Linked DNA regions of Bombyx mori. The main gene of each other region encodes a partner of the protein of the gene in region 2 in a complex. Links are inferred from orthologs where the notes say so. Each region holds a gene or a part of one and is shown on either strand. Other genes may lie near its edges.

Region 1 (2,836 bases), on a different chromosome or scaffold from region 2:
ACATAATCTTATTTTACAAAGTAAAAATGTAATAATAATAATAATAAGATTTACGCATTTGAAAATATCTAAGCTGATAGTCAAAAATCAGGTATTTTTATAAAAAACAATTAAATGCAAATATCTTTAAATCGGTTAGATTTAGGATGTGTTTCATAGTCAAATCAATCAGAAACTATATAAACTACATGCCCTTAACGGAAATCGGTCGACTTAACATGTAACCTTAAATACATTTGAATATTTGCATACATAGATAATAGACACCCAGACAAAGAAACGAACCTGTTCATCACACGAATGTTTTCCTGATATGAGAATTGAACCCACAACCCTTGGTTCAACAGTCAGGGGTTTACTAATGCATCCTAACAAAATTGTGTATTTCACTCAGCAACTGAAACTTGTTTTTTTTTGTACACTGCATAGTATATAATATGTCGAATGGAGTAAATATTGAACTATTTCATCAGTGGTATTAAAAAAATTAGACTTAAAAGTTTTAATCCATCGATTATACATTTATTTCTATTCACTAATTTTCATCATTCACACAAGAAACTTCATAAGTTTTAACACATTCATTTTCCTCTTTCACTGTAAGCCTATTATCACTGAAATCTTGGTAACTGCATGGAATCTTAAGAAACTTGCCAAGGATATTGCAACAGGCTGTGGGTTTAAAGACACAGACCAATTTGGGTTGTCAGCTACTATTTGCATTTGGTGGTGTTTTGTATTCATTTTCAGTGCCTAAGATATCCTTATCTATTTCTTTGAAATCAATGCTTTGCTGTTTCATTGCATTCTGAAATTAATGTACACTATTAGCATAGATATATGAGTGCAGTTTCATATTTCATAGATTCAATAAATATTGGATTATTATGTTTGAATTATGATTTAATTTGGAATGAACTATATGAACCTTGTTAGGTTCAGAAGAATTATGTTCTGAATTATCAATCTTTCACTTGAAACTCTAACGTTAATTTTTTTTCTTTGAAGATAAGATAAACAAAATGTGTACCTTAACACATTCTTGATAAATTTTAAATATTCCAGCGCAAACAGAATCATCTTGATCGCCTTTTAAGAACCTTTCCGAGAACCAAGTATTGAAACAATCATCGTATTTTTTCTTTAGGTCTGTACATTCTTCGCCAATGCTGTTCATTTTTTATTAAATCTTTTGGAGATCAATTAAGTAAATTCTGCCGCAAAGTTTAAAATTAAAACGTTATCCCCAATTAATTTCGTTTACAATCGATGTTTCTTTCAGATTTGGTAGTGGACACCAAAATCAAATAATGTGTACAATTTATGATCAGACGGGCACATTGGAAGTGTCACAGAACTCTATTTTAGCGAAGGGAAGTGTTCTATGCATTATCTATAAATTGTATTTTTTTAAGGGATTTTATGACCTGGTAACTAAGACCCTTAAGTCATGTTCTATTTTAATTTATATTCTAGCCCTTTTCTTGACTTTGTATCTGTGGAGATACATCAGAATTAAAAAATTCTAGTGCCGTTATTTTTTAGCGCAATCTTAATAATTTTTGTATGCGTGTTTATGGTATTAAACCATCTTTAAATGTGAGACAAGTGGATAGTGATGTAATTGTTTCTGAGGAATCATTGGAGCTTGTTGAGTCAACCGTATTTCTTGGTATAACAGTGGACTCCAAACTGCAATGGGGACCTCATATTCATAAATTGGCGAGTAAGCTCAGCTCTGCAGCATACGCAGTAAAAAAATTAGAATGTTAACAAACGCGGACACGGCTCGTTTAGTTTACTTTAGTTACTTCCAGTGTCATGTCCTATGGCATTTTGCTATGGGGCAATGCGGCCGATGTAGAAATGATATTTATTCTGCAGAAAAGAGCTATACGTGCTATTTATAACATGCACTCAAGGGAATCCCTGAGGGAGAAATTTAAAGAAATTAAAGTTCTCACTATGCCATCCCAGTACATTTTTGAAAATTTGATGTATGTTCGTAAACATATTGAGGAGTTTCCTAAAAAGTCTGACATACATAATAGAAATACTAGGAACAAACACAAGCTTGTTGTGCCGATGAGTAGGTTACATAAGATACGAAACTCATTCGGGTGTTTGTCTGTGCGCCTGTACAACAAAATCCCACAAGATGTTCAGAACCTACACATACATAGGTTTAAGAAAACTATTAAAGAACATCTGTGCAATAAAGCTTACTATAAAGTCAATGATTATCTAGAAGATTGCACAAAGTGGGAATGAGTTGCTCGCTCCGGGCATTTCAATATCGTAGTAATTGTTACGTTATAATACTCATTGTAAAAAATTCATATTTAAAAAATAATAATCTAATAAAAAAAAATAAAAAAAGACATGCCCGCTGAGTTTCTTGCCAATTCTGCTCAGGACGGAGGCTAGTTCTTGTGAATTGGCGGTAGTTCTTTTGACGTTCAACAAGTATGTACTTTCATTTATGTTGAATAAAAATTTTTTGATTTGATTTGATTTGATTTGATATGGGCTCAGTGAATTTGGCCCCTCTTTTTTTGTTTTTCGGATTTTTTTTATTAATAATTATTTGTTCGACATTTGTTCATTAGTGTTCGAATGTAAAAATCTTGTGTTACTTAGCAATACAATTCTCTGATTCGTCTGCTTATTAGATATAAAATGATTAATAATTGGGAATTTAATTGTTTTTATGATCGAACAATCACCGATAGTCATCGAACAAACGCTAATTGATCAACATTAATTAATCTGAGCGGTAAAAATAAAGATATCTAGTAAAAGAGGCAAACTTAAGGGTGATCATTTGTTTAATTAA
Region 2 (4,198 bases):
GAGGTACGCGGTACAACCTTGAAAGGCTGTTTACAACATTCGTCGTGGTACATTTGCATGACTCAGAATGAACAATTAACGAGTTTCATATATTAATGGTTATGATAAAACGATATTTTTAATGTATTGTTTGCATAGAGAAATTAACGATTTGACCGTTCATCTAATGTTAAGAGAGCAATGACATCAGAATGTGATGGCATTTTCCACCTGGAGACTACAGGTTAACTCAGAATTCACATTATTTGACAAAGTGTAATTTATTTTGTTACTAAATAAACAAAACATTACATGCTTGCCCGTGTGCGTCTTTAAATCTATGGCATATTTCAAGTACACAAAATGAAAGATAGAATAATGCAGAAAAATAACACTTATGTATGGTATTTTTTTTACAAAATATTCACTTAATATAATAAATAGTTTTTTTACATACAATGTAAAAAATTATAGCATTTGATTACTAATTTACTCAATTCTATCTAAGTCATGATTGAACAACTTCTTCTTAAAGTGATTTAACAATCACATTTCGGATATACTCATATCCCAGTAGTAGAAACACATTTTATAAGGCAATAATAAGTCATAGTCATGAAAATTAGTCAATTTTGCAGGTTTGATTTTTATAAACAATGTTACTAGATCATGTGAGTCGGTCATAAAAATATATTTCAAATATACAGAGAAATATTTGTGTCTGCCAAAGGTTTGATAGCCAGCACACTTGAATCACTTAACACCAGATCTTTCTTCGACAGAGTTTTCCCATGTTAGATATTTGGCAAGTTTAAACTTTTCTGTTTATCTCCGGTTGGAAATTTTTGTATAATTAATATACAGGATGGTATGGATTGGCTAAATACTAAAATGAGCCACTCATTCTTTCTGTATTTTTAAAATAAAAAATTTGTCATTTGATTTTTGGAAGTTTATTGGCAAAGAATTAAAACCAATTTTAATAACTATAAGGCAATTTCTTCATAATTTTGAATTAACTACAGACAGCTTTTTAGCCTTAAAAGTTGGAATTGGTTGGTTTGTAATACTTCAGATATTATTACTACTCACCTTTCACCCCATTTTGGAACTCTGTTGGTTTTAGTCAGGAGCCGCTTTGTATAAAGACAACCGTCGCGAACTTGTCGGCTCCATGTATCTTCAGATAGGACGTGAGTACTGGGTGAAACATTAAATTAAGTTCATACAATTTACAGGCATAATACATAATATTTTGTTTCGGAATGTCAAAAAGAACATTGTTAAAGAGCATGACAATAAACTATATTTTTATAGGCTTTTATGAAGTAGTTAAGTTCATTTAAGTAAATTGTGATTTACTATATTAGCAGCTTATTTAAGCTCAAGTGCTGTTAAGTGTGGATCTCATAGACACCACATAGTGAGCTGTTCTACCATAAACCAAAACATAAGGTGGAATTCTCAGTAATGTAATAATTTCTAACTATTCCATCATTGAAAAGAATACAGGCATGGTTTGTGGCATGACTACTCCTATAGTGATGTTATCCAACCGTGCATGCATTCTTTAAGTAATATCTACTAACACTAAAAACTAGCTTGAAGAATCTTCTTTCAAATAATAACAAACAATTTTATTTATAGTGACTATACTGAAATTTTATTGAATTTAATAATCAATTTATTACAATAACAATTGACAATTACATAGAATTGGAAAAGAAATAACAATAAAGAAATAAAAAAGGAAGTTTTAATTGAATTTTTCTTCTAAAGAATCAATCACATAAAGCATTCAAAATCATACAATAATTATATCTGACATTCAAATGATATTTAAAGAACTTTTGTCTATCTGTAGTATGTTCTAAAAAAAAAATACTGACCGGTATTTGTCAGAGTAACAACAATACCGGTTTTAACTTCCTTGATGCACCTTTGTCTTTTTTCATAATGAAACATTTAAAAAAAAACTTTAAAAAATATTTGCTAAACACATTTTAACTAACCTCTGCGGATTTGGGTATCTCCTCCAGTAACCACGCGCAACTTGATCCCAACTGAAGTTAAAGACCGAAGTATTTTCGAAATATCTCGTCATTTTACTGTTTAGACTTCAATGCTTTTTACTTCAATTATATTTGGTCTTCATTCCAAAACAGAAGGAAAACGTCTTATCTTTTCAATACATCTATAGAATAAATGATAAATTACAATGTGTTATTCGTAAACTTTGTCAAGTATCGTATTACATAAATCAAAACTAGGTCAATAGTTAAAATACGAAGTGTTCGGTGATCGGCGCCTGACCCTGGCCGCTAAGGCTTTGTGATGATTGTCACGTACATTATCGATGGGTTGCACAGATGTAAACACCAATACCGCTCAAAAACAAATATTCGAAAAAAATCTTTTGCACTAATAATATTTGAACTCACAAATAATTACATAAACCGATAACTAAGATGTCTGTCTGTCTGAAGTCCTAGCATGGATACTATTAGTAAATAGTGTGTTTTTAACATACTTTGCTAAGTAATATATGAAGTTACTTAGAAACGCACCTGAATGCCGGTTTTTTCCTTCGAAATTTAATCCGGGTGTAACGTGAAATCACCTTCGCGAACTTCAACGTCTATATATAAAGAGCAAAGTGCAACATAGTGTTAGAGCACGTGTTATCATTCATATTTTCAGGTGTTTTCGATAAAATTCTGATTACTGACAGATAATTCGAGAGTCCATTGGTGTTTGCTTACATAGATTATACACTAAATGTTTGCTTACATATTATTGTATAATCTGTGGCTGATAATAAATAGCATAGAGAATATTTGAGAGTCTGTTGCTTATGATCTACACTCAAAGGAAAAAGGGCGGGAACGTCAAAATAAATAGGCGCTTTTTTCAAGTTAATTTTAATTTATTTGGTTTTAGCCCTTTTTTACGACATTGTCTCTTAATTTTTCACTGTGTTAGAGTTTAAAATTATATTCCATAAGTGTGTTCCGTATTAATGGACGATGACGACAGGGGTGAGGGCTTCAGCTCCGCCCCTGTGTCCGCTCCCAAAATAATGGGAAAACGAAGATTGACCTCATCTGAATACGACGAAAGCCGCAAAATAAAAATGACTTTCATTAAAAATAAGCGCGGTCTTTTTAAAGACCACCATGCTCTTTATGAAGACCTTACAAAAAAAGAATACCCAGTGCTTCTTCAGTCAAGCCTCTCGCAACCAAATAACAGAGTCCCAATGGATCTGTTAAGAATAAACAAATCTTTAAAAAATGTTCAAGGGGTACAGTATGTCAAAGCTGCTGGAAACTTTTTGCTAAAGTTTACTTTGGCTGTGCTCGGGATGCCAACGCTTTTTTATTAGATGTAAGCTTTATGGAGTTAAACAATTGGACAGCAAAAATACCTTACGATAGCATTGAGAGTCAAGGAATTATTCGAGCTCCTGTGGAATTAGATGAAGAATCTCTTTTAGTAAATTTAAAAGCTTCATGCACAATACTCGGAGTAAAAAGATTTTTCAAAAAACAAGAGAATGGAAGTGACAAGCCACTGCAAACTGTGCTGGTTACATTTTTGGCGTCTAGCCATCCTGATCACGTCACATACGAGCATATTTGGATGCCTGTTTCGGATTATATTAGACCTGTGTTACAGTGCTTCAAATGCTACAAATTCGGACATGGAAGTGGTGCCTGTAAAGCCACTCAAGTTTGCTCTATTTGTTCAGGCAATCATTTTTATAAGGAGTGCAGCACTCCCAACATCTTCAAGTGCTCCAACTGCAGTGGACCACATTCTGCAGTTTCTTACTCTTGCTCAGTAAAGGCAGCCAAGGTTGCTGAAGTTAAAAATAAGATCATCGGCAAGCAAACATCATATGCAGCCATACTAAAGACTCCTGTTATTAAGAACCCCGTGACCTCTTCTGACATACCTATATCTGCGAAGACCCCTCAAGGTAGGGCTTTAATTTCAGACATTATAAATTCAGAAATTGTCATCAGAACCATTACAAAAACTTTAATAGAATTGTTAAAGAAAAAGGATTCTAAATCCCCTTCTGGACCTATATCTACTCAATTAATTAAAGAAATGCTAGTAACGAATTTTACATCATAAATTATGGATAGTTCTACTCAATCTTATATGCATAATTCTGTTGGTCAGTTTAATATCATTCATTGGAACTCTAGAA

The links. Proteins that work in one complex are often made in the same cells at the same time.
Region 1: the proteins of protein preli-like (region 2) and TP53-regulated inhibitor of apoptosis 1 are in contact, whole or in part, in a crystal structure (PDB 6I3V), measured with the Homo sapiens proteins. The link is inferred for Bombyx mori from reciprocal best matches to the Homo sapiens genes PRELID1 and TRIAP1. Residues at the interface, in NP_037369.1 of Homo sapiens: Trp15, Asp16, Phe19, Ala20, Trp23, Gln24, Tyr26, Pro27, Val34, Leu35, Thr36, Glu37, Asp38, Ile39, Val40, His41, Arg42, Val44, Gln48, Lys49, Leu50, Leu51, Ser52, Arg53, Leu55, Thr57, Tyr79, Leu81, Asp83, Ser84; in NP_057483.1 of Homo sapiens: Met1, Asn2, Ser3, Val4, Lys12, Tyr15, Asp16, Phe19, Asn20, Trp22, Phe23, Phe27, Leu28, Gly30, Asp31, Ser32, Phe41, Tyr44, Gln45, Val48, Gln49, Ile52, Ile57, Pro58, Ile59, Leu62, Glu63, Phe64, Met65, Gly66.

Annotation. Positions count from the first base shown.
Region 1 is NC_085114.1:6,725,069-6,727,904, forward strand, and holds TP53-regulated inhibitor of apoptosis 1, read right to left. Parts: upstream 1,384-2,836; 5' UTR 1,178-1,383; coding exon 1,031-1,177; intron 809-1,030; coding exon 707-808; 3' UTR 501-706; downstream 1-500. UniProt on the Homo sapiens protein: Involved in the modulation of the mitochondrial apoptotic pathway by ensuring the accumulation of cardiolipin (CL) in mitochondrial membranes.
Region 2 is NC_085131.1:12,968,452-12,972,649, reverse strand, and holds the start of protein preli-like, read right to left. Parts: upstream 2,801-4,198; 5' UTR 2,547-2,800; exon of another isoform or gene 2,329-2,546; intron 2,174-2,328; 5' UTR 2,084-2,173; coding exon 1,992-2,083; intron 1,180-1,991; coding exon 1,072-1,179; intron 1-1,071. UniProt on the Homo sapiens protein: Involved in the modulation of the mitochondrial apoptotic pathway by ensuring the accumulation of cardiolipin (CL) in mitochondrial membranes.